Oryctolagus cuniculus: one gene and its partners. The protein of the gene in region 1 purifies or fractionates together with the protein of each later gene. This does not show direct contact. Links are inferred from orthologs where the notes say so. Each region holds a gene or a part of one and is shown in the gene's direction. Other genes may lie near its edges. The genes, in order: NHERF2, ARHGEF6, LPAR2, PRKD1, PLCB3, PHLPP1 and PHLPP2.

Evidence for each region.
Region 2: the proteins of NHERF2 (region 1) and ARHGEF6 purify together in Homo sapiens (affinity purification with mass spectrometry; 3 studies listed by BioGRID and IntAct, with this or other methods). This does not show direct contact. The link is inferred for Oryctolagus cuniculus from reciprocal best matches to the Homo sapiens genes NHERF2 and ARHGEF6.
Region 3: the proteins of NHERF2 (region 1) and LPAR2 purify together in Homo sapiens (affinity purification with western blotting; 3 studies listed by BioGRID and IntAct, with this or other methods). This does not show direct contact. The link is inferred for Oryctolagus cuniculus from reciprocal best matches to the Homo sapiens genes NHERF2 and LPAR2.
Region 4: the proteins of NHERF2 (region 1) and PRKD1 purify together in Homo sapiens (affinity purification with mass spectrometry; 3 studies listed by BioGRID and IntAct, with this or other methods). This does not show direct contact. The link is inferred for Oryctolagus cuniculus from reciprocal best matches to the Homo sapiens genes NHERF2 and PRKD1.
Region 5: the proteins of NHERF2 (region 1) and PLCB3 purify together in Homo sapiens (co-immunoprecipitation; 3 studies listed by BioGRID and IntAct, with this or other methods). This does not show direct contact. The link is inferred for Oryctolagus cuniculus from reciprocal best matches to the Homo sapiens genes NHERF2 and PLCB3.
Region 6: the proteins of NHERF2 (region 1) and PHLPP1 purify together in Homo sapiens (affinity purification with mass spectrometry; 3 studies listed by BioGRID and IntAct, with this or other methods). This does not show direct contact. The link is inferred for Oryctolagus cuniculus from reciprocal best matches to the Homo sapiens genes NHERF2 and PHLPP1.
Region 7: the proteins of NHERF2 (region 1) and PHLPP2 purify together in Homo sapiens (affinity purification with mass spectrometry; 3 studies listed by BioGRID and IntAct, with this or other methods). This does not show direct contact. The link is inferred for Oryctolagus cuniculus from reciprocal best matches to the Homo sapiens genes NHERF2 and PHLPP2.

Annotation. Positions count from the first base shown.
Region 1 is NC_091450.1:33,196,704-33,200,650, reverse strand, and holds the start of NHERF2 (Na(+)/H(+) exchange regulatory cofactor NHE-RF2), read left to right. Parts: upstream 1-1,147; 5' UTR 1,148-1,197; coding exon 1,198-1,410; intron 1,411-3,097; coding exon 3,098-3,298; intron 3,299-3,947.
Region 2 is NC_091453.1:114,529,963-114,533,462, reverse strand, and holds part of ARHGEF6 (rho guanine nucleotide exchange factor 6), read left to right. Parts: intron 1-97; coding exon 98-223; intron 224-1,778; coding exon 1,779-1,799; intron 1,800-3,500. UniProt on the Homo sapiens protein: Acts as a RAC1 guanine nucleotide exchange factor (GEF).
Region 3 is NC_091447.1:66,278,354-66,282,460, reverse strand, and holds the start of LPAR2 (lysophosphatidic acid receptor 2), read left to right. Parts: upstream 1-1,307; 5' UTR 1,308-1,491; intron 1,492-2,126; 5' UTR 2,127-2,135; coding exon 2,136-2,868; intron 2,869-4,107. Other genes in the region: GMIP (GEM-interacting protein), read left to right, coding at 1-136. UniProt on the Homo sapiens protein: Receptor for lysophosphatidic acid (LPA), a mediator of diverse cellular activities. Seems to be coupled to the G(i)/G(o), G(12)/G(13), and G(q) families of heteromeric G proteins. Plays a key role in phospholipase C-beta (PLC-beta) signaling pathway.
Region 4 is NC_091443.1:45,772,058-45,774,820, forward strand, and holds the end of PRKD1 (serine/threonine-protein kinase D1), read left to right. Parts: intron 1-340; coding exon 341-426; intron 427-1,275; coding exon 1,276-1,494; 3' UTR 1,495-2,263; downstream 2,264-2,763.
Region 5 is NC_091432.1:7,057,967-7,061,970, reverse strand, and holds the start of PLCB3 (1-phosphatidylinositol 4,5-bisphosphate phosphodiesterase beta-3), read left to right. Parts: upstream 1-1,204; 5' UTR 1,205-1,353; coding exon 1,354-1,452; intron 1,453-3,871; coding exon 3,872-3,949; intron 3,950-4,004. UniProt on the Homo sapiens protein: Catalyzes the production of the second messenger molecules diacylglycerol (DAG) and inositol 1,4,5-trisphosphate (IP3).
Region 6 is NC_091441.1:15,654,533-15,658,032, reverse strand, and holds part of PHLPP1 (PH domain leucine-rich repeat-containing protein phosphatase 1), read left to right. Parts: intron 1-1,589; coding exon 1,590-1,736; intron 1,737-2,655; coding exon 2,656-2,886; intron 2,887-3,500. UniProt on the Homo sapiens protein: Protein phosphatase involved in regulation of Akt and PKC signaling.
Region 7 is NC_091449.1:55,608,619-55,612,118, forward strand, and holds part of PHLPP2 (PH domain leucine-rich repeat-containing protein phosphatase 2), read left to right. Parts: intron 1-2,134; coding exon 2,135-2,245; intron 2,246-3,046; coding exon 3,047-3,241; intron 3,242-3,500. UniProt on the Homo sapiens protein: Protein phosphatase involved in regulation of Akt and PKC signaling.

The DNA of each region.
Region 1 (3,947 bases):
GAGGTGAGGGTGGGGGCACCCACGATGCCACGAGCTCCTGGAGGTGGGCACCCAGGGGGCCACGGTGTGGGTGGGGGCTGGAGAGCCCAGGCCAAGAGAACTGGAGACGGGAGAGCAAGGGGTGAGGACTGGGGCCCACCTGGGAACTGTCTGGACTGCTGCGCCCCACCCCTGGGGCAGGCATGGGCAGGGGTCCCTGCTGGGCTGGGGCGGGGCAGGCCAGGCCGCCTCAGGCCTCAGCCGTGAAGGCTGCAGGCTTGGGCCGCACAGCCCTGGGCCTGGGGGAGGGGTGCTTCCCTCTGTGCCAGTAAAACTGCACCTGGAGAGGCCTGGCCAGGCAAAGTGCTGCTGGCGGTTGTCAGCCGCAGGGCAGGGGAGGCGTGGCAGAGGCAGGGGGCAGGTGCCAGAGACCTCGGCTCAGGTGTGCCGGTGCTGACCACAGAGTACAGAGGCCAAAGTCTCGGGGCAGGAGGCCAGCCCCCGACCGACCCTGCAGCCTGGGACTCCAGGGTCTGCCGGGGCCTGGGGTAGGCCTCAGCCAAGTGCGAGAATGGAGGGCCGACCTCTAGGGAGCCCACGGGCACACAAAGCCCACCCTGTCACTACGGCCTCCAGGGGCCTCCAGGCAGGTCGTGGGGCTCTGTGCAGGGCAGCCCTGGCTGCGGGAGGGTCCCGGGGGTGAGGGCAGTGGCTGGGGAGCAGGTGAACCGTGCGGGTGGGCAAAGGACCGCCCAGGGAGGGCAGGCAGGGCCTCACTCCGGGGCCTCCCTGGGGGTTCTGCCTGGGGCCACTGTCTCCCACCTGGCCCCCAGCTCAGGAGCCGGCTCTAGGCCCTGCACAGGAAGCCAGAAGCGCTGGCACCAACGTGCTGCCAGACACAGGGGTTCCCCGGCCCTGAAGCCTCCCCTCCAGAGCCCCTCGGGCAGCTGGGGCCGGGAGGCAGGGCCAGGCCAGCGCGTCGTGGACCCGGGGCGGGGGCGGCCGGGCGGCGGGGGCGGGGAAGGGGCGGGCGCGGGGGCGGTGCCCCAGCCCGAGCCGGAGCCCGAGCCGGAGCCCGAGCCCGAGCCCGAGGCGACTGGAGCCGAGCGAGCGCAACGCCGAGGCGGCCGCCCGTCCCCCGCGCCGCCCCCGCGCCCCGGCCTGCGGGCCCCGTAGCGCCGTGGCCAGCCCGCGGCCGGCCGGTGGTCAGCGGGCGCCATGGCCGCGCCGGAGCCGTTGCGGCCGCGCCTGTGCCGCCTGGTGCGTGGCGAGCAGGGCTACGGCTTCCACCTGCATGGCGAGAAGGGCCGCCGTGGGCAGTTCATCCGGCGCGTGGAGCCCGGCTCCCCCGCCGAGGCGGCCGCGCTGCGCGCGGGGGACCGCCTGGTCGAGGTGAACGGCGTCAACGTGGAAGGCGAGACGCACCACCAGGTGGGTGCCGCGCTGCGCCCCGGCCGGCTGGGCGCTGCCTGCGGGTGGCGGGCCCCGCACCTCCCCCGCGACGCTCAGCCCCGCACCGCAGCGCGGGGGAAGGCGTTCTGGCAGGGAGGGGCCGCACTGCGGCTCCAAGCCGGCCCTCGGCCCCCTCCCCCCGCCTGGCTCCAGCCTGTGTGTCGGTGAACCCGGGTGCTTCCTGAGCCTGTGGGACTGTGTGACCGCGCAAGGCCTCCGGGGTCCTGCCCGTGTGGGTGCCAGCAGCCAGGCCCCTGCGCGTCTGGGCGGTGTAGACCGGCCAGTGTGTCTGCAGCCGGGGTGCCTGGATCCGGTGCGAGTTGGCAGTCCCTGGTGGCACATTCCATAGCTGCTGCGACCCTCACCCTCCTCGGGGCGCTGTGGCCACTGCCCCCTGCTCCTGCAGCTGGAGAGGGTAGGGCCTCTTCCCTTGCAGGCTGTAACCCCTGGGATGTCCGTCTCCCGCTGGCCAGGGACTCACCTCAGATCCTGGCCAGAGTCCAGCCTCCCTCCGGACCGGCTGCTCCGGCTGCTCCGTGTCCCTCACAGCACCGCTGAGCCTGTGGCCTGTCTACGTGGCCAGTACTGGGCCTAGGGGTTAGCAGACAGCTGAGCCACTGGCCGGGCTTCCCGGGGTCCCCTAGCCTCTGTCTTCCAGCGAGACTGGAAGCTGGGTAGAGCGGTGCTGTGTGCTGAAGTGCAGTGGGGGTCAGGGCCACAGGTGGGGGAGGCAGGGCTGGCAGAGCTGGCACCCCGCCTCTGTGTGACAGCCATGGCCATCCTCGCTCCAGCTGCACCTGCTGTTCCGGGCCCCTGGGCACTTGTCTGAGAACTTCACACCCAGCCCCAGCCCCAGGAGGTGCGGCCGGGACTCTGCTTTACAAATATGGAAACTGAGGCTTGGAGCTTCAGTTTGGGTCACAAGTCGGGGAGCAGGGCCGGGCGAGGACGGGCCTGGCTCGCTCCCCCTGTTGCTTGACAGCATCTGGGGAGCTGGGCAGCAGGTGGGAGCCTTCTGCTCCGCTCTTCCACAGGCCGAGGGCCATAGTGGGCACTGCCCTCTCCCTGCTGGCACACGCTGGCACCCTGTGTGCTCCCAGACACACAGCGCCTGGAACGCCGCACCTGTGCCACGGGCAGACCTGCCCCTCTCCCCGCTGTCCTCCTTACCCGACCGTGTGCGGGGGCCTGAGCGGGAACCCAGCTCTCAGCTGTCCGCAGGCCCAGCAGGAGTGGGTCTGTGGTCTGCAGGCAGACGGTCTGTGTCTAGGGCAGGTTGAGATTCCCGTGAGAAAGTTGAAAGCAAGCGAACATGCACAGCCAAACTAACACCCGACAGCACCTCCCGCCTCCAACCTGGGCTGGAAGGCAGACTTGGAAACAGATGGTGCGCACACACGAGCGTGTGCACACGCACGGGCAGACCGAGCCCCTGAAGCTCATTCAGTGCCGTCTTGGTCACCTCCACCCTGGGCTGAGAGCAGCTCAGGGCTGGCTGTGTCAGGGAGCCGGGGGCGGGGGGCGGAGCCGGCGGGGCCAGCCGCCCACCCCTGGCAGCCTGGCTGCCTGTCTGCCTGCCAGCCCAGGCCATCCCGGAGTGGTGCCACCGTCCACGTGCTGCCCGGGCTGCCGGCCGCTGACCTGCCCCCGTCCCTGCCTGCCCCAGGTGGTGCAGAGGATCAAGGCTGTCGAAGGGGAGACCCGGCTGCTGGTAGTGGACAAGGAGACGGACGAGGAGCTGCGCCGGCGGCAGCTCACCTGCACCGAGGACATGGCCCAGCGAGGGCTCCCGCCCGCCCACGACCCCTGGGAGCCAAAGCCGGACTGGGCACGTGCAGGCAGCCTGAGCTCTGACGCTGGCCAGAAGGTACGGCAGCCTCTGCCCGTGCGGCCACCCTGGCCTCTTGACAAGTCTTCACCCCGCCCCGGCTGCCTTCTGGGTCCCTCTTCTCTCAGTCCGAGTTCCTAACTGGGGGTAGACAGGACAGCTCGGCCCCCTTCCCGGCTCGCTCTCTGTCCCTGCCCTTAGCCTGGCCCAGGGCGACGAGGCCCTTCCTGCCCGGTGGGCGGAGTCACCGGACCCTGGGAAGGAGCGAGCCTGGCCCCTCAGCAGCGTCTGCGTCTCTGTCTGTCTGTCTGGTCTGAGTGTAGGGTGAAGCCCTCGGAGAGAGCTGGCCCCAGAAGCTGCTGTGCGCAGCCTGGTTCAGGAAGCTTCTAGGGCGAGCCCACCCTTCCCCCAGTCTTCAGCAAAGACCCCCCAGCCGCAGGAGGGGTGGGGACCTGGAAGTAACCCTGCGGGGCAAGCATGTGAGCCCTGGGGAAGAGCCGTCTCCTACCTCTTTGGTTGACCACATCCCTTGGGGGGTTCCGCCTAGGGGTTCCCCAGATTCCGCTTTGAGAACCCCCGGCCTGGGGGCAGTGGAGGTATTGGGCCTAACGTGTGGGGTGGGCGGGGGCCTTCACGTGGACCTTTTTCCTTTCCCACCCTCTCCCACCACAGCTGGCTGCGCTGTGAG
Region 2 (3,500 bases), on another chromosome or scaffold:
GGTTTTGCTGATCCACAAAGCTATTGTTCTCTCTGTGTGTGGCACAAGGTCGGGTTCAGATGGCAGATTGCCAGTATCTCATCGGACATTTTCCCAGTCTTTTAGCTCTACCGGACAGTCCCGAGGACCCTTGGAGCCTCCTCAAATTATAAAACCGTGGAGTTTAAGTTGTCTGCGACCTGCACCTCCACTTAGACCATCAGCAGCTCTAGGTTATAAAGAGGTAATTTTGCTACATATGGTATAAAATGCTTTTGACAAGCTAATATAATAACTTATTACAAATAGTTTTGTGGGAATGTGCTAAACCTTATGATAGGTGCTATATGTCAGTTAGTATTGAATTGTTAGTGTTGGTGATTTTTTTTGCTTGTTTCTTGATTCTCCATTTCCCCGTTGTCCATCTAAAAACATTTGTTGATTAGCCACGGGGTTGATGTGCACAATATGAGTTTCCCAAGCCTCCTCCAGAAATGCCTCTGGTTTACCTCTGAGATAATTTTGATAATTGTTTGAATTAGTTAACAAAGTATACACAACTCAAACAAAAGCCACTTCATTGGAGTTGAATTTTCAATCAAGTAGATGCAACTCAACATTTTGGATCATTTTGATTAAATCAAATTATAACCCAGTCATGGGTCCAAAGTACGAAAGATATTTGCCCTAGTTAGGAAGGGAAAAGAATTTAATGAAAGGAATGTCATTTGAGAAGGTTTCTCTGCGAGAACCTTAAAGGACATTTGATATTTGAATAATATAGGGATTTCAAAGCCTTTTTTATCCCCTTGAAGTTGTAATCAGGAAATATCAGTCACTAGTTGCTCTGTGGAGTCTTACCTTTTCCATTCACACTGATTTTTTTCCCCCAAACCTGTTTCTCATCATTTCATATTTCAGAAAGAATGCTCATTTATTTGTAACTTTTCCTTAAATAGGTATTGTTGACTGAAGTTTAAGTTTGTGACAGTTATGAATCTAGATTTATGGTGCAGAGACAGCATCTATTTATCTATCAAATGTGTGTTCTGAGTGATGCAGACTCCGCTTAGTTTTGAGTGTGCTTTGATTTAAACCACCATGCTTCTGTTTCAATTAATTGTTGTCACCAACTTTTAGTGTAGTAGAAATACATCAGTATTTGGACACTGGAGGACTTTTTGATTCTTTCAAGCTGGTGTGGAAGGAGAAATAACCCTTGAATTGAATCTTTATTATGTACCTCGATTCAGAATTTGGCCAGGAAACAGTCCTACAGATTTGCTTTGGAAATTTACCCAGTTTCTTTGGAAATTTACCCAGTTTCTTTGCAATTTACCCAGTTTCTTCTTTGATTCCCTAAACCAGGAGTGCTACTTCATAGTTACCTTTTTAAATGGTGGATAATTTGTAATTGTCAGTTGCTAAGGTCAAATTGAGGTGAGCTTTGAAGGGGGGAAAGTCAGCTTAATCCTTCACATAACTAATCTATTAAAACCAAGGCATGACCACTTTGTTTCTGCTGGGGGAAGAGAATTATTAATATATTCTGATGATGTGGTGTGTATTTCAGTCATTTTCAGCATTTGTTATTCTGCACAGAACTGTATTTCTTGGGCTTTTGCATGATGATATGGCATCTGAAACTAATGTGGGAAATGTGATGATATTCTTTCTGTGTAATTTATGATAACACTAACATTTCAAATGTTGTTTTAGAATTATTGATAAATGGATTTGGTCATTATAACCATCGACCTCTCACGCTCATCTTCTCTTTCTTTACATATTCATTTTAGAGGATGTCTTATATCTTAAAGGTAAGGGTAGAATAATATCTTTGGCTTACAGTGACATCATAATACTGTGCTATAACCTTTGATGAATGAAGCTTTCTCTTATGCTTGCTTTGTTCCTTGTTATATATACTTGGTGGCTAAAATATGAAGATACAATTCTGACATGTAAGTACTTTCTTCCCAGAGCAGGCTTGTATGAAATTCATATGCAAATGTCACCCTATAAGGCCTTAAAAATGCCAGTGTTCCTTTGTGTGTGTGTGTGTGTGGTTTTTTTTTTTTTTTTTTTTTTTTGGACAGGCAAAGTTAGACAGTGAGAGAGAGAAAGACAGAGAGAAAGGTCTTCCTTTTCTGTTGGTTCACCCCCAAATGGCCGCTACAGCCCGCGCTGTGCTGATCCGAAGCCAGGAGCCAGGTGCTTCTTCCTGGTCTCCCATGCGGGTGCAGGGCCCAAGCACTTGGGCCATCCTCCACTGCCTTCCCGGGCCACAGCAGAGAGCTGGACTGGAAGAGGAGCAACCAGGACAGAATCCGGTGCCCCGACTGGGACTAGAACCGGTGTGCCAGTGCTGCAGGCGGAGGATTAGCCAAGTCAGCCGTGGCGCCGGCCCTTTGTTTTGTCCTGTTATTCTTCACATGTGACTTTTTCATCCTGTCTGTTTTCAAGAATTAGTGGATCACTGTGACTAAGTGAAAGAAATCAAACTTTTGTTTCATATATTTTAAGATACTAATTATTATCGATGTATCACATGTACACATAGCATGGAAGGAAGATGGGAATAAAATGATCATGAGGATTTTTTTCCCTGAGTGTAAGTGTCTAATCTATTTATTTGGATATTGTCAATGAGAACTTTTGTCATTTGTAGGTTATTCATATGACAAAAGCAAATTCAATAATTTTTTATTTGCTAATTAAAAATCTGGCTTTGGGTGTTACAACATAGCAAGTGAGGCTGCCACCTGTGACACTGGCAACCCATATGGGTGCCCATTCATGTATCAGCTGCTCCACTTCCTATCCAGCTCCCTGCTAATGGCCTAGAAGCAGAAGTTGGCCCAAGAGTTTCAGCACCTGCCACCCATGTGAGAGACCCAAATAAAACTCCTGGCTTCTGGCTTTGGCCTGGCCCAGACCTGGCTGTTGTGGCCATCTGGGGAGTGAACCAGCAGAGAGATGATCTCTCTATCTATCTCTTCCTCTCTTTATATAACTCTTACTTTCAAATAAACATCATTTATTTTAAAAAAAGAAATTTGGCTTCATACATGTATAGTTAAGCTTGGCTGTGGGTGTTATTCTTAGCCCCAAATTATTTATCAGGCAGTCATTTGGTTCTCTGTGGAAAAAAATGACTTAATCTTCCCTCTTGACAAATAGAAATTATATGCTTCTTTGTGGGATTGTTTCTGAGGAAAAGTTATTTAAATAATTTTGAGGTTCTTTGAGAAGTGATAAATGCTACATTAGTAGGTATAGTTGTTATTTAATCCCCTTAAACCGGTATCAGTGGGAAACATAAACCATGGGAAGAATGTTTCTGTTTTGTAAGGTTAATCTCCATGACTCTTAGTGGATATGGTGCCCTAAGGGCATTTGGCCTCCTGGAGAATCTGCCAGGAGGCACAGAACACTCCATTCTCCTGCCCACCCCTAAAGCAGTTGGCAGGATAATGCCACCGCCTCTGTTTCATTTCACCTTTTAGCCTTTATAAGAA
Region 3 (4,107 bases), on another chromosome or scaffold:
CCGCACCCCGCTGCCCAAACATTTTGAGATCACCCAAGAGACCGCCCGGCTACTCTCCAAGCTGGACAGCGAGGCTGTGCCCAGGACCGCCGGCAGCGCCGACCCCCAGCCCGAGGAAGATGAGGAGCATCTCTGACCACCCCTGGACCCTCTGCGGGGGGGCTTGGGACTGTGAAGATGGACCCATGTCTCGCGTGCCTGACCGCCCCCCCCAGCACACACCTGGGGCCAGAGCTCCACTTGGGGGGGGTTCCTATAAAGACTGCGTGGCCTGGGGGAGGCCCAGAACCTTCCCAACACACACAGGTCATGGCCAAAGCCTCAGGGCCGCTCCAGGTCACGGTCAGTATCCAGGGTCCACCCCGGACTCTGACCCTTTGGGTGCCTTTTGCTGCTTGGTGTGGGCACTGCCCCACCGCCGCCTGCCGACTTCACCGAGCCAAGCCACCCACCAGTTCTTGGTGGGGGGGCAGCCAGACCCCACAGCCCCCTGGGTGCCCGGGATCTGGTGGTTTCTGAATAAATGTCGCCCTGTGTACACCGCGTGTGGCTGCCGAGGAGGGTGCTGGGGAGAGGCCGGCCAGGGCAAGCCCCCTTTGCCCCCGAGTGAGCCGAGGGCCCCCCTTTTCCTCCTCATGCCCACACACCCTTGACCCACCTGTAGGCAGAAGGGGCCTGGGCACGCGGCTGAGTCACAGCTACGCGTCCCCAAACCGGTCCTGTGTAATCAAACAAACACGACCAAGTACAGATAACCGGGACAATAGGGCCTCGTGTTGCACTCCGTGGGAGTCCTGGGCCGCCGCAGGGAGGCTGGGGGAGGAAGCCGCAGGCCGGGGCTATGCAGGGGGCAGCGCTGTCCCAAGGCGGAGAGCGCCGGAGGGCGGGGGCGGGGGTCTGCGGGGTGGGAGACCTGCGCTGGGGAAGCCCTGGCTGGGCGGGGGTCGCGGCAGTGGGAGCCGAGTCGGATCAGGGCGTGGCTTGCAGCTCGGCGGCCGATTGGACGCCAGGGAGAGGGCGGGGAAAGGGGGGGTTCTGGGGCGGGGGGCGCGGCCTGGAGACCACCCGGGGCTGCGCCCGGGCCGCGCGTGGTCCCGGCGGGCTTTCTCCGTCGCTGGGAGAGTCAGTCTCCAAAGTGCGGCCGCGTTCAAGGTGTGCGGGGGCCGGGGTGAGGGTCCCGCGCCGGAAATGGAGGGGGGCGACCGGGGTAGGCGGGGAGGAAATGAGGGGGCTGCGGTTCCGGGCGACCCAGCTTGGGTTGCAGGCGGGCGAGGCCGGGTTCCCTCCAGGTGGCGGGGCGGGGCGGGGCTCCCCCAGGTGGCGGGGGCGGGGCTCCGGCCAAGGGGCGGGGCCTCCGGGCGACCCCGCCTCCCGCGCGCCCTCCGCAGCCGGACGCGCCTTCGTTCCCGCCGCGGTCGCGGGGCCATGGACTCCGGGCCCACCCCAGCCCCCGACCAGCGCGCCCCGTCTGCAGCCTGACGCGCTGCCCAGGTGAGGCCCGCACCGACGCGGGACCGGGGAGCGCGGACCCCGGGGAGGGCGCGGCACGTGTCCGCGGGGCCTGGGCGCCGCCCCCTCTCCCTTCCCTCCCCACCCCCAGCCTAGGGGCTCCGGGCGGCTTCGCCCAGCGCCTTCTCCCCGAGCGCCCTCTTTGTCCCGGCGGCCTCCAGGGTCCTCCGTCCCACCCGGAACGGCCCGATGCCCCGCCCGCTTCGGGAGCTCTGGCACCTAAATCCTGCCGGCCCGAGGACTGCAGGGACCGCCTAGCTGCCGCCTCCCAAAGGAACCGCTCAGCTCCCGCAGGGTCCCGGCGAGGGACTTCACTTTGCGCGCGCGCGCGCGTGCGCGTGCATGCACGCACACACACGCGTTTCCTGGTTTCTCCTCCCCGCACTTGACCCGGGCACCTCGTCTGCTCACGCAGCTCACGCCCCTTTGCCCTGTTCTCTCCCTTCCCCTAGCTCCCCTCTACCCGGCCCACCCCCACCCCCCGGGGCCCGGCCGGCACTGGACTGCGGATGCGTTTTGTCTGCCTTCCTCCTCCTCTCCAGGCTGCTGCTGGCTCCTTGTGTGTTTCCAAGGAGCTTCACTTGCACTGACCCCCGACTCTGTGCCCCCCCCCCCAGGTGGCCACCATGGGCCAGTGCTATTACAACGAGACTGTGGGCTTTTTCTACAATAACAGCGGCAAAGAGCTGAGCTCCCACTGGCGGCCCAAGGACGTGTTGGTGGTGGCGCTGGGACTGACGGTGAGCGTGCTGGTGCTGCTGACCAACTTGCTGGTCATCGCGGCCATTGCCTCCAACCGCCGCTTCCACCAGCCCATTTACTACCTGCTGGGGAACCTGGCGGCCGCCGACCTCTTCGCCGGCGTGGCCTACCTCTTCCTCATGTTCCACACGGGGCCGCGCACAGCCCGGTTGTCCCTCGAGGGCTGGTTCGTGCGGCAGGGCCTCCTGGACACGAGCCTGACGGCCTCGGTGGCCACGCTGCTGGCCATCGCCGTGGAGCGTCACCGCAGCGTGATGGCCGTGCAGCTGCACAGCCGTCTGCCGCGCGGCCGCGTGATCATGCTCATTGTGAGTGTGTGGCTGGCCGCGCTGGGGCTGGGGCTGCTGCCCGCCCACTCGTGGCACTGCCTCTGCGCCCTGGACCGCTGCTCTCGCATGGCCCCCCTGCTCAGCCGCTCCTACCTGGCCGTCTGGGCCCTGTCTAGCCTGCTGGTTTTCCTGCTCATGGTGGCCGTCTACATCCACATTTTCTTCTACGTCCGGCGGAGGGTGCAGCGTATGTCGGAGCATGTCAGCTGTCACCCCCGCTACCAAGAGACCACGCTGAGCCTGGTCAAGACGGTGGTCATCATCCTAGGTGAGTGAGGGCCTCTGCCTTCTGACCCCACGACACCCAGAGACCGTGAACTACACCTGATAAGGGCCGGGCGTGGGCGGTGATCCCTGGCGAGCTGTTATCTCGGCACAGACTTGAATGCTCCAGGGGGAGGAAAAGAATTCCAGGCAGACGGAACAGAAGGTGGAAAGCCTCAAGGCAGGAGTAGCCCAGAGTCTGGGAAGAAAGCAGCCTTCAAGGTTGGCTGGGGGGGGGGAGCAGATTGGCCAGCCTCGGAGGTCAAAGGTCGGGGACTAGAGTCGCGTTTTGTTCTGAGTTCTATCAGAAGTCCTTAAAAAGCTTTGGTTTTGCATCTTAAAAAAAAAAAAAAGTATTTATTTGAAAGAGTTACAGAGAGGTGGGGAGAGATGGCTGCAATGGTCAGGGCTGGGCCAGGCAGAAGCCAGGAACCAGGAGCTTCTTGCGGGTCTCCCGGGTGGGTGCAGGGGCCCAAGCGCTTGGGGCCGTCCTCCGCTGCTTTCCGGGGCCATTAGCAGTGAGCCGGGTCGGAAGTGGAGCAGCTGGGACTTGAACCATCGCCCAGATGGGATGCTGGCATCGCAGCTGATGGCTTTACCTGCTATCCCACAATGCCGACTCCAACTTTTTTTTTTTCCTTTTTAAGTTATTTATAGGGCTGCTGCTGGCTGGCTCCGTGGCTCACTAGGCTAATCCTCCACCTGCAGCTCCAGCACCCCAGGTTCTAGTCCCGGTTGGGGCGCCGGACTCTGCTGAGGCCCGGGAGTGCAGTGGAGGATGGCCCAAGTGGTTGGGCCCTGCACTCACATGGGAGACCAGGAGGAAGCACCTGGCTCCTGGCTTTGGACCGGCCCAGCTCTGGCTGTTTCAGTCATTTGGGGAGTGAACCAGTGGATGGAGGACCTCTCTCTCCATCTCTCCCTCCCTCTCTCTGTAACTCTGCCTTTCAAGTAAATCAATCTTATTTTTTTTTAAGAGTTATTTATTTGAAAAGCCTAGTGCCAAAGAAAGAAGGAGAGAGGTCTTCCATCCACTGGTTCACTCCCCAAATGACCACAACAGCTGGGGCTGTGCCAGGAGCCAGGGATTCCATTGTATCTCCTACATGGATGGTAGAGGCCCAGGTATGTGGGCCGTCACCTGTCTGCGTTTCCAGGCACATGGGCAGGAAGCTGGATTGGAAGCAGAGCAGCCGGTCTCAAACCAGCACTCTGATATGGGATGCTGGTGTCGCCAGCCGTG
Region 4 (2,763 bases), on another chromosome or scaffold:
AATGACATATTTAAACAAAATTCCCTTTCTTAAAAAATGTACTAAAGAGTAGACCAATTGAAATTTACATTATTCAAGAGACTCTGATACTCTTTCCTTCACAATTATTTCCAACTTCACTTTTTAAGTACCCAATTAATTAAATATGTATCGTAAATAAAATGAAGTTCATGGTTTTAGAATCCTCAAGGGGAATTTTTTTTTTCAGATTGTAGTACCTGTTATCACTGTGTTACACTTGACTGTGTGAAATAACAGAAGTGGAATAAACTGTAAATGAATTGTGCATATGCTCCAGATTTATCATCTCTTTTTAATAATGATTAAAAATGTTTTTCAGCCATCGATCTTATCAATAATTTGCTGCAAGTAAAAATGAGAAAACGCTATAGTGTGGATAAGACCCTGAGTCATCCTTGGCTACAGGTAAAAATCAATCCTTGATTTTTCTTGGTTGGAGAAATATTTATAGGATTCTAACATTATTTGTGGAAACTTTTCTTCTATTTTAAAATGTATGATAATTCTAACATATATATAATTATATATATAATTCTAAATAATAATAATTCTAATTAATTTGTTTGCCAAATGCATGTAAAATCTTAGGGTTTAGTAATAGTTTAGTGTTTCAAAACCTCTGTCTCTACAAAGGAAATGTGATAGAGGAGAGATACACATATATACGCACACAGGCACACACCAAAATAAGCACTAAGAAAACCCACCACCACCAACAGAAAACAAGGATAATAACATGTCTCAGAGGGCCAGATTTCAAAAACTTCAGAATATAAATCCTGATAAATGTCCAAATAGTTACTCACTGTATTCAATCAAAAGCTCTATTTTTAAGTCCTAGGCTATTGGAACATGGAAAAAATGCATGGCAAATGTAAAGTACATGTGTATGCTTATATGTTATCTTAAATATTTGTTGAACTTAAAGTTTTAAAAATGATACTCTGAAATACTGAAGGATTATTTGTAGGCATTACATTTCAAAGGGAAACAGAAATTCCTAATTGCTTGACTGCAAGCATTAATTGCATACACGTCGATCCGCGGTATCATATGAACAGTATGTATTTGAAAGGTTAGGTGAAGAGGATGGCTTTGCAGCTCATGCTGTAACTTGAGGATATGTGATGAAAGATGCAGCACTGTTAGAGTGGAAGAGAAAGGGTAAGTCTGCTTGTGGGAAGTGACAACATATGAAAAGGCGTGTTGTGTTGCAATGATCTCTATGGCAATGTTTTGGGATTTCTTCTTCAGGACTATCAAACCTGGTTAGATTTACGAGAGCTGGAATGCAAAATTGGGGAGCGCTACATCACCCATGAAAGCGATGACTCAAGGTGGGAGCAGTATGCAGGCGAGCAGGGGCTGCAGTACCCCACACACCTGATCAATCCGAGCGCCAGCCACGGTGACAGTCCTGAGACCGAAGAAACAGAGATGAAAGCCCTCAGTGAGCGTGTCAGCATCCTCTAAGTTCCATCCCCTATAATCTGTCAAAACACTGTGGAATTAATAAATACATACGGTCAGGTTTAACATTTGCCTTGCAGAACTGCCATTATTTTCTGTCAGATGAGAACAAAGCTGTTAAACTGTTAGCACTGTTGATGTATCTGAGTTGCCAAGACAAATCAACAGAAGCATTTGTATTTTGTGTGACCAACTGTGTTTTATTAACAAAAGTTCCCTGAAACACTAAACTTGTTATTGTGAATGATTCATGTTATATTTAATGCATTAAACCTGTCTCCACTGTGCCTTGGCAAATCAGTGTTTTTCTTACTGGAGCCTCATTTTGATAAGGGACAGAACCTATCCACGAAGCAGTTCCATTTGGTGTGTCCCATTGGTGTTGTCTTTGTAAGCAAACTCTTGAAGAGTCAATTATTACCGGTGTTCTATGAACAACTCCAAACTCACCTGGGGAAAAACAAAAGGTGGGATGGGTAGGGTAAAGGACATGAAGTCCTGATATAAATGCATGAAAGAATTTCATTGTGTGGTTTCAAATTCTTTGTCTGCCTGGTGTTCCTCATTATGTTTAAACTCAAGTAAACGCACCTAGGCATGCAGGGCCTACTGTTCTTAAACCTAAATGCCTTAGAAATGTAAACTGCTCTATATAACAGATGTATCTCCCCCTTTGTAACAACACCCTGCTGTACCATGGAAAACCAGCAGCTAAGTGACCTTTTGCCTTTGTGTATTTTTCAACAATAACAAATAAATATTCTTGTCAAAATATGTGCCCATTTGATTGGATTATTTCCATTTGTTGTCCACGCTATTATTTTCAGACCAATTAGAAGCAGAAATATCTACTCAAAAAGGCAGGACAAAAATCTCATGGTGTAGAATTCAACTTGATGCTGAAGTGGTCAAAAATGTTTCAGAATATAATGAACACTTTCAGTCTTGCAGTACTTCTAGTTTCCAGTAGTAAAGACAGCTTTCAAACATGATGCTGCTAGTCATAGTTGGAAATACTGCAAATAGCAATCCCATTGGAGCTTCCTGATTTAGTCAGTGTAAGTCAGGGACTAAGAATACTGATGCTAGGGACTGGCATTGTGGCACAGCATGTCTCTGCTTCAGATCCAGCTTCCTGTTAATGCACATCCTGGGAGGCTCCAAATACTTGAATCCCTGCTACTCATGTAGGAGGTCCAGATGAAGTTTCAAGCTCCTGACTTTGGCCTGGCTCAGCACTGGCTGTTGTGGGCATCGTGAGGAATGAACCAG
Region 5 (4,004 bases), on another chromosome or scaffold:
CCCCCTTTCTTTGTCTTCCCAAGGGCAGGGAGTGGCTGTGAGAAGTCTGAGGCTGGACACCCCCCAGGAAGCTGTGTGACCTTGGGCAAGCCTCTTGCCCTCTCTGGGTCCCAGGTAGAGACGAGAATTGCAGCCTACAGAGCCAAAGCCAGAGCCTGGGAGGTTCACTGGGTTGGCGGCCAACACAGTGGGGATTTGGAGGGAGGCCAGTGCCCGGCGGGGCTCCTCTTGGGGGTCCGAGAGCCTGGGGCAAAGGGGCCTGCAGGCCTGTCCTCCTCAGCTGACCCCTCCTCCCCCAGAGCGGCTCCTTCTCTTTCTGGGTTTCTAGGTGACTTGGCTGGCCCCTCTGGATGAGTTCTACTTTAAACCTGCTGCTGCCACAGCCTCTGTATTGGGGGGGCTCCCACAGGGGCCCCCAGGCAGGTGCCCCCCCGGCTGAGCCCTGCGGGAGGGGCTGCAGCCCTGCCCCTCCTCCCATGCCTGGGACACAGATTTCAGGGCACCTACCCAGGGCCAGGCACTGCAGAGCGCCCCCTCCCCAACTCCCTCCTCTGGGCACACCCCCGAGGCTCGCACCCCTCTGGGTGAACAGCCCTTTGCGGTTCTGACAGAGGCCAGCAGTGCCACGCCGGTCTAGGGGTCTACGGCGCAAGCAAGGGGCTGTGCCAGGGTTCACTCTGGAGGCCAGGATGCCCAGGTCCTCAGAGGAGGCAGGTGCCTGGCTCCTAGGGATGGGGGTGGGGGAGGGCCGCCTGCCCGCGGGAGGCCCATTAGCCTGCTAAGTGCTCCCAGGGAGGGGCGCAGCGCTGCTGCCAGAGGGGGTGAGGCGAAGTGAGGGCACCGAGAGGGGGTGGGCTTTCTCTGCACTCAGCTAAGAGCAGCAGGGGCGGGGCTCTGCCTCCCCTGGCCCAAGGGCCGCCCCCCACTAGACCCTTGCTTGGTATCTCAGAAACCTCAGCGGCCCCTCTCCCATCCCTCCAGCTGCGCCCCGACAGCCTAAGGAATCACTCCCTGCTGAGCCACCCCAGCGAAGCCCCGCACTGCTCCCCGCGGCCCTCCGCCTCAATGCCCACTCCGGCTGCAGTCACCGCCCCGGCCGCCAGGGGGAGCCGGCGCGGGAGGGGGCGGGCCCGACGCCGAGGGAGGGGGCGGTGCCGCCCGGGCCCCGCCCCCGCCCCGCCCCGCCCGGGCCCCGCCGAGTCTCTGGTCGGTCCCGGACAGACTGGCGGGCGGGCGGGCGGACGCTGACGCCGCGGGGCTGGAGCGGGCCGCGCGGGAGCGCGCGGGCGAAGCAGCGGCGCCGTCGGTCCCCGTCGGGGCTCCGTGCGTCCCCGGCCCGCCCCTGGCCCGGCCATGGCGGGCGCCAGGCCCGGCGTCCACGCGCTGCAGCTGGAGCCGCCCACCGTGGTGGAGACCCTGCGGCGCGGGAGTAAGTTCATCAAATGGGACGAGGTAAGAGCGGCGGCCCCCCTGCTCCGCCCAGATCCGGGGACTCCTCCACTCGAGCTTGGCCGGGCGCCCCCCGGCCCAGCCTGGCTGCGCTCCAGGAACCAAGCCCCGAGTTGTCCCCGTGGTGAGACTTTGCCCCCCAAGACACCCCGTCTCTCAGCTCCGGATAATTTGGCCTCCGCTCCTCGCGCCGAGACTTTGAACCCCAATAAATGCAGCCCCCCCACGCGCTGGTCTCACTCCTGTCACATTAATTCTGGTTCCCCGCCTCGGCATGGCCCCCACACCCCTGCCCGGCACGGGGCTCCCTGGCTGGAGGACCCCGACCTCCACTCTGGCTGGGGGCATCCTCGTCTCTGGTGGGCGCCGCTGGGCCCCCGCTGGCCCATTCAAACCTTCCCCACCCTCCTGGGCTGGTGCCCGGGCCCGGCGCCCCGCGTCACCCCCCAAGTTCACCCACCCCGGGAACTTTGCTCCCCCTCCTTAGCCTCGGGACTTTGAACCCCAACGAGCCCTCTCCCCTTGTCTGCCTCCGCCGCTCCCCGGACGCCCAAGCTCCCACCTGCGCTGCCGCCCGCGGCCTGAGCCCCACCCACGGTCTCGCCGCCCCTCTCTGGCCCCCAGGGCCTCCACCCCGCCGGCCGGCTCCTCGCCGCTCCTTCCCAGTCAGGCCATAGGCCTGGAAGACTCGGCTCCTTTCCGGCTGGGTGGGGCGGGTAGGCGTGGGAGCTGGGGGGAGGGGCTGGGGGCGTGGCCCGGGCGGCAGGTGTGCCGGCCCGGGTGCCCCGGCGCCCCGTGGGGGGCCCGGGGAGACCCCTCCCCTAAGGCGGGCCAGAAGGGAGAAGTTTCTCCTTTGCCTTCCAGTCTGATAAACCCAAATAAGGAAGTGGAGGCCCGGAGAGGACCCTGGGGGTGGGGTAGGGGTGCTGCCAAGGGCTTGGGGCTGCCGGGCTGGGGCCTGGGCTGCCTTGGAAGGCAAGACCCTCGGGAAAGGGCTGGGGAGGGGCCTGGGGGTGCCCACAGAACCCCCCCCCCAGTACTGGGGGCTTCAGCTGTAGGGCAGCCTTGGGGATCCCAGCAGGACTGGCGCTGGGTGTCAGCACCCTGAGCTGGGGAGGCCCATGTACCCCAAAAGTTCCAGGGGCCTCCTGTGCCTTCTGTCCCCAGATCCACCCCCACCCCTGATCCCCGGTCTCTGTAAGCAAGGTTGGGCGGGGCTGGCGCTGTCCCGTTCTGCGGATGAGGAGACTGAGGTGGGGAACGCAGGGTCCTGCTCCTCTGCCTCTGGGTCCCTGCCTTGGGCCTGCAGCAAGACGGGCGGCCTGGTCTCGCGGCCTGTACAGTGGGGACGCACTGGCACGGAGCTGCGAGGGCGGAGGGCGGCCGTGGTGATGCCGGCATCGCCCACCAGACAGCGGCCCGCTGGGGGTGGCCCCTGGGGTGCGCGGGAGCTGAGGCGGGAGAGGTCTCCCAGCTCCCAGCTCTCGGAGTCACGCGGTGACCGTGGAGTATGCCGGGGACTGGGCCCCCAGAAAGTGGGGCCGAGACCCTTCTGCCCCTGGGACGACCCGAGCCGGAGCTCCCTGCCTGGTTCCGAGGCGGGGCGAGCGTCCCCCAGGGACTCGCGCTTCTGGAAGGTGGAGCCTCGGGGAGCCTGGGCAGCACAGGGTCCCATGGGACTCGGCAGCTGGCGGGGTCAGGCTTTGCAGCCTCTGTCCCGTCAATATTCCATGGTGGGCTGCTGGAGTGGGGGCTCCAACCGTCACAGGGCCCCGGGACCTTTGGGGTCCGCGGAGCCCAGGGCGGGGGCTAGGGAGGTGGGCTGGATTTCCGGGATTAAGAGGGAGAGGCCGGCGTCGCAGCTCACTAGGCTAATCCTCCACCTAGCGGTGCCGGCACACCGGGTTCTAGTCCCGGTCGGGGTGCCGGATTCTGTCCCGGTTGCCCCTCTTCCAGGCCAGCTCTCTGCTGTGGCCCGGGAGTGCAGTGGAGGATGGCCCAAGTGCTTGGGCCCTGCACCCCATGGGAGACCAGGATAAGTACCTGGCTCCTGCCATTGGATCAGCGCGGTGCGCCGGCCGCAGCGGCCATTGGAGGGTGAACCAACGGCAAAGGAAGACCTTTCTCTCTGTCTCTCTCTCTCACTATCCACTCTGCCTGTCAAAAAAAAAAAAAAAAAAAAAAGAGGAAGGGAGATAGGGCAGTGAGTGACCCAGGTGGCCATACCTTAGGGTGGTGCTGGGGCCAGAACACAGGCCGCACCCAGGATCTTGGTTTTGTCCTGAGGGCCTTGGGCAGCCTGGGGGGGGGGTGTGTGGCTGCAGCAGGCGTTGTCTCGGCCACTACTGGACACCGTGGCGTGGCGGCTGGAGGGGTCAGCAGCCCTCACTCCCTGACCCTGGCTGTCCTGTGCTGTCCCCAGGAGGCCTCCAGTCGGAACCTGGTGACCCTGCGCGTGGACCCCAATGGCTTCTTCTTGTACTGGACGGGACCCAACATGGTGAGGGCTGGCGCTGGCGCGGCTCACTTAGGCCCAGGGCCCCTGCCCCAGACCT
Region 6 (3,500 bases), on another chromosome or scaffold:
TTGTATTCTTACAATTCTTTTAATGTCTGACTAGATTCTCATATCTCTCTGTAGTCAGTCTGATATGCTATAAGTAAGACATGTGTCACCTGGCAATCAGTACCAAACACTTGGAAGAAAATGATAATGGCAGATGAAAATTTCTTTATATTTTTATGAAAATAATTTTGATTTTAGGGATCTCCTGAAAGAGCTTCAGGGAATGTTTCTGGTGTTCCCCAGCATATTTTGAGGCTCACTGGGCTAGAAATAATAGACCCTGAAATTCTACCTTGTGTTTTATAGATCATGGATAATTAGATTAGAGAATAATCATTGCTCATTTTAAGAAAGTCTAATGAATCAAAGTGAAAAATATAAAGCAGACAACTTAAAAATTATTATGCATATTTAGCAGTTATTCTTTACTGAGTTTATAGTTGTTAATGATAATTTAAAATACTTCTATATCTGTACTCAGCTTTCCAAGAAAACAGCTATTACAAAAAAAATGAAGATTAACACTTTCAACCTTTCAAATAGTTGTGTTATCAGCTTTCTGTGTAGAATAAAGTTTTTAATTTTTAGAGTAGAGCTTAACACTTTTTATTACAGAATTCAACAGATAGGTCCCATGATGCTTTCTTTTACAGACTGGGCTGAATTGAAGTGTTTTTGGAATGTTTTATCAGTCTTGGGCAGAGTGTACACTTTGGGTGGTTTTTAAAAGACTTAGCATAATGCAGTGACTGCTGTGATTCTCATCTCATAGGGAAATGATGTAAAGGTGGGCAGTGAGCCAAATGTAGGAGCTCACAGAGAAGTAAAAATGAAAGGTAGTTTTTTAAATTGCTTTAGTTATTTGGGCAACTAAGAAAATGAAAAAAAAAATAGCAAAAATAGAACAAGAGGAAATGCTGGTTTGAGGTAAGTTCAATTTTGGGTGATTCAATTAGATGGCTGATTTCTCATCAGGAACCCTACAGGCTAGGAGAGAGTGGAGAGACATAGTCCAAGTCCTAAAAGAAAAAGACTGTCCACCCAGAATACTGTGGTAAAATGAAATGAGAATTTTCCAAGGAAAGGTGCATGGCCAGCAGTATCAAGTGTTACAATGAGATTAAAGACTGATAACTGGCTCTTAAATTTGGAACTGCGAAGTCCTGGTTACCTTAGTGTGTCATTATAATAAATGTTAAAATTTTTACTATATCTGTTTCAGATTTGAGAAAAGTAGAGTGAAGTTCCTCGTTTTTCTGGGATAACGGAATTCAAAGGGGTCCTTCCCTGGGACCATTTACATGTGTGATAGTTAAGCTGAGGCATGGCTAAAAAGCAGACCCTAGCAGAACTCACCACCTCCAACATTCAGCCTTGCAGTAGAGTGACAAGTGTGTTTTGGATATAAAGTTTCTCTCTTAGGTCAAACACCAGGCTTAGAAGTCAAAAGATACACATTTTAGCTCTACTGCTCCCTCAACCTCTGAAGGCTCCATTTCCTCCTGTGTTATATTTGGGAGTCAGACCAGATTGCCTCTTAAGGCTATGCCAGAATTATGTTATGCTGCTATAAAATTTGCTTCTTCTTTTCTTTTGTTTTATTATAATAGGTTCACCAAGTTGAAGAGTCTTAACCTTTCCAATAATCATTTAGGAGACTTCCCACTAGCAGTCTGCAGTATTCCAACCCTGGCAGAGCTGAATGTGTCCTGCAATGCCCTGCAAGCCGTCCCAGCAGCTGTCGGAGCTATGCACAAGTCAGTACTTTTAAAGCCCACGGCAGGGGTATCTGGGAAACTAAAGGAAACTACATCCGATAGTAGCATGTGAGATTAGTGAACTTGTTCTGATCATGGAAGTCTTGGCCCCAAATCAAGAGATCAGTAAAGCATTCCTTTGTTGGATTTATACTGTTAAAATGCTGGAAAAATTAACAGATCTTTGTTTAGAGTTAAAGATTCCTATGGATGAGTGTGTCTAAACATGGAGGAGGGTTTACTTTCTCATTTTTGTGTTATATTGAATTCTAAGACACAGAAGAGAAATAAGAAGGAGAGATGAGTATTTGGGTTGGTTCATACTTGCAGTTATCTCCACATTGTTTCCATTTATACTTATGCATGTTGGGGAAAGATGGTCTCAATTTCTTTCTTTCTTTTTTTTTTTTAAGATGTACTTATTTACTTTGAAAGTCAGAATTAGAGAGACAGGGATATCTTCCATGTGCTTGATCATTCCCCCAAATGGCTGCAATGACCAGGGTTGGGCCAGGTGGAAGCCAGAAGCTTCATCCAGGTCTCACATGTGGGTGGCAGGGGCCCAGGCACTTGGGCCATCTTCCTCTGCTTTCCCAGGCCATTAGCAGGGAGCTGTATCAGAAGTGGAGCAGCTGAGACATGAACTGGCACCCATATGGGATGCCAACATTGCAAGCTGCAGCACCACTATGCCACAAACTGACCCCATGGGTTATAATTTCTGTTTTTAATGAAAAATTAAGATGCTTATCTCTGAACTGTTCTCTCTGGTCCACTATTGCCTCTGGCTGTGCCTTTATGCATTTTGCAAGGAGTAATATATTTTATAGTGATATGATCTGTACTTATGGAACTTGTTTGTTGATAAAAATGTAAAATTTACCCATTCTCTTTGTAATTCTCATGTTTTCTTTCATAGTTTACAGACATTTTTGTTAGATGGAAACTTTCTCCAGTCCCTTCCTGCTGAGTTGGAAAACATGCACCAGCTTAGTTATCTTGGTCTCTCATTCAACGAATTTACTGACATTCCAGAGGTATTGGAGAAACTGACTGCTGTGGATAAACTTTGTATGTCTGGAAACTGTATGGAGACTCTTAGGCTACAGGCTTTAAGAAAAATGCCTCACATTAAGCATGTGGATCTAAGGTAACCATTTTTGAGAAATATATACACCACTTGGGTGGTTGGCTTGTCTGTGGGTGGTAGATTATAGACCTTTTGGTGATATTACCCAAGGCAAACAGCCTGATTAGTTGAACGAGGGCCCATTTTTCTATTTCTGCCCAAAGGGAAGAAGAATGATTGATGGTAGCATTCACTCTTACCCTAAAACTTGCTTTTAAAAAATTCTCATTCATGAATGACTGTATCTCCTGAAAGTCTTAATTTAATTTTGCAAATCTGAATCCAGTTTTAATGTGTATGAATAGACGGGGCTATTGCATCAGAGAGCTATTTACAGTGAATGAAATGTGTGTCATTGAAAGCAAAGTGGTTATTGTTTTCTTCATAATTTTTTCTCTCCATGGCTTATCTGAGGCATTTGACATCATTGAGAATTTCTCTTCTTAAATTGTTTTTTCCTTCCTGGCTTTCTTAATATAATATATCCATTAGGTAAATTTAATTAATTTACTTTAATTTTCTATCTTTCCATCTTGTGACTCTGCTCTTAGTTTAGCATTTTTACAAAAATTTGAAATCTATGACCTTGTCTGACCAATGTTTACAAGGGCAGAAAACCTGCATTTTGAATCTGT
Region 7 (3,500 bases), on another chromosome or scaffold:
ACAGGAAGTGGCCGGTGCCGCAGCTCAATAGGCTAATCCTCCGCCTTGTGGCGCTGACACACTGGGTTGTAATCCTGGTCAGGGTGCCGGATTCTGTCCCGGCTGCCCCTCTTCCAGGCCAGCTCTCTGCTGTGGCCAGGGAGTGCAGTGGAGGATGGCCCAAGTCCTTGGGCCCTGCACCCGCATGGGAGACCAGGAGAAGCACCTGGCTCCTGGCTTCGGATCAGCGTAGTGCGCTTGCCACAGCGCACCAGCCGCAGCGGCCATTGGAGGGTGAACCAACGGCAAAGGAAGACCTTTCTCTCTGTCTCTCTCTCTCACTGTCTACTCTGCCTGTCCAAAACAAAACAAAACAAAACACAGGAAGTTGCGAGGGCAGTGGGTGTTCCCAGTGGCTGCCCTCTTCCTGGTCTGTACACCTTGTACACAGCGCCCCAAGCTGTTTCTCCCATTCTAACAGCTGCAGAGTATGGGGAGCAGGCAGGATGCTGAGCCACAGACCCCTACCCCCCACTTACAATGTGGGGACACCCCTCGGGTGAGCGCTCCAGCTCACCCCTGCGTATCTGCCACAGACCAGCCCTGTCTACACAGCCCCTAGGGGCTGCACCTTGCAGCAGTGAAGTAGTCAGTCTATTTGTGTTAAAACTACTACATGGCTACCACACAAACATATGTCTGGTATTTTTACATATTAGGCATAAATATATTAGTTGGTACAGATTGCATTACAACATCTGTAAGATGTACGAGTTCTTTGTACCTGTATCAAAATGTGTAAAATAAGTAGATATGACTGAAGCATAGAAATCTTTGTTTTGCTGAGATCTTGATTGAAAAGAATGGCATTAATTTTGACAGTGTTTGGCCCCTATTTCTTCTTGCTGCACCTTTTCTTTTTTTTTTCCTCCTGGTTAGGGGGTGGGGGCACTTGGCTGCTCTACTTCCAATCCAGCTTCCTGATAATAGAGCCTGAGGAGGCAGTGGATGATGGTTCAAGAATTTGGGCCCCTTTCACCCATGTGGGAGACCTGGATGGAGTCTCTGGCTCCTAGCTTTGACCTTGCCCAGTCCTGGCTGTTGTGGGTATTTGGAGAGTGAATCACAGGATGGAAGATTTCTCTGTGTCTCCTCCCCTCTCTGTTGTTCTGCCTTTCAAATAAGCTGCTGCTTGGTATGCTAGCATCCTAGATTGGGGTACCAGCTTGAGTCACAGCTGTCTGCTTCTGATCCATCTCCCTGCGAACTTGCCTGATGGAGTTCTGAGCACCTGGCTTCAGCCTGGCCTAGCTCTGACCATTGGAGGAGTGAACCAGCAGATGGAAGAGCCTTCTCTCTTTCTCCATTTCTGTCTCTCTCTTTCTCTCCCCACCACCCGTGTTACTCTGCCTGTGAAATAAATAAATACTTAAGAATTAATCCTTAGGGTTGGCATTTTGGTACAGTGGATAGAGCTGCTGCATCCCAGTGGGTGCCAGTTCGTGTCCTGGCTACTCTACTTCCAATCCAACTCCTTGCTGATGGCCTGGGAAAGGCAGCAGAGGATGGCCCAAGTGTTTGGACCTCTGCACCCATGGCTCAGCCCTAACTGTTGCTGCCCCTTGGAGAGTAGAACAGCAGATGAAAGACTTTTATTCCATCCTTCCTTTCTTTGTTTCTTTCTCCTTTTTTTCTGTATTTTTCTTTCTAAGATAGAATTACAGAGAGGCAGAGAGAAAGAGAGGTTTCCTATCCACTGGTTCACTCCCCAAATGTCTGAAACGGCCAGAGCTGTGCTGATCCAAAGCCAGGAGCCAGGAGCTTCTTCCAGGTCTCCCATGTGGCTGCAAGGGCCCAAGGACTTGGGCCATCTTCCACTGCTTTCCCAGGCTGTAGCAGAGAGCTGGATCAGAAGTGGAGCAGCCAGGGCTCAAACTGGCACCCATATGGGATGCCAGCACTGCAGGTGGCAACTTTACCCACTATGCCACAGCACCAGCCCTGAAAGACCCTCTTTGTCTCTCCCTCTGCAGCTCTCTCAGGTAAATAAAGAATTTTTGAAAAGAATTAATCTTAACACATGATATCTTTGGGAGAGTTTTCATCAAAGACAGTCTAATATATGGCTTAATCTTCTCTTCTTTCACCTCAACAGCCATATCACAACACTAAAAATTGATCAGAAACCTTTGCCAACCACAGATTCTACCATTACATCAACCTTCTGGAGCCACGGACTGGCTGAGATGGCAGGACAGAGAAATAAGTGAGTGTGTTGACTGTGAAGACTGAGTTCAAGAACTGGCAGCCCCTGGTGTCTCAGATGTCTCTGGTGCTCCTAGTGAGGCCCTGATGTTCTGTTGCACATAAGCATATCAGCATGTCAGCTCACATAAGATCCTTCTGAGACTATGCTAAAGTGAGACAAATGTGCGTGTGCAGTCCACAGAATACCAAACACCTCCTCTCATGGCTAACATGGGTGTTTGCTTCTTAGGTTATCAATTACAGCTTTATCCTTGTGTTAAATTTCCTTCCCTGTCAACAAAGTTGAAATACCCAACTGTGGAGTCGTCCTGCTTTCTCTTAGCACCCAACCTAGTGTGATCCTCCACTTCCTAGAGCCCTGCCCAGTGACCCAACCAAAGCCCAAATCTTATACTCGTTTCTGTCCAACATCCTCTTACCAGTACGCCCCATGGTTTCATGGACTAGCATTCACCCTTGCTGCAAGGTCTAATAAACCCGGCTTGTCTAGTTACAGATGTGCTTTGGGGTTCTTGGGCTGAAGGGTTTTGACAAAATCCAGTTCTTAATCACTACCATGAGAAAATACATTATCTTCCAGCCTTGGGCAGCACTGCAAAACTATGTACTGCCCATGAGTGTGGCAAGACACGCCTTTCCTTAGGACATCACTGTTTTAGATTCTGCTGGATTATTTTCTCTAGGGACTTTCTCACATGTAAATTGAGAGTTACTGCTGTTCTGCTCCAACTTCAGTTGGAGAATAATCTGTTACCAAACACTTTCTTTGATGATTGTCTTTCTTCTGTTTCTGCTCTAGGCTGTGTGTATCTGCTCTAGCTATGGATAACTTGGCAGAGGGTGTGGGAGCCGCGTATGGCATGTTTGACGGCGACCGGAACGAGGAGCTCCCTCGCCTGCTGCAGTGCACGATGGCAGACGTGCTGTTGGAAGAGGTACAGCAGTCAGCACATGACACCGTTTTCATGGCGAGCACCTTCTTGGTGTCTCACAGGTAAGCAGATGGGTTGAATAATCCCTAACTCAGTTCTGCTTTTGGAAAGTCAGTCTCTGTAAGCCAGAAGATTAGGATCTGGATCCAGGACAGATCCCACTCCTTCTGTGATCCTGCTGTGGCTTGGAAGTGGGGACTTTGGCTCTTTAAAGAGCCACAGGAGTCATCTGCATTGTTTATATGTATGTGTGTGGAGGAAGGGAGGAAGGGGGTAAGGTTTCATCAGATTCTCCAGAGAGTCTGTGACCTCTAAGTACTT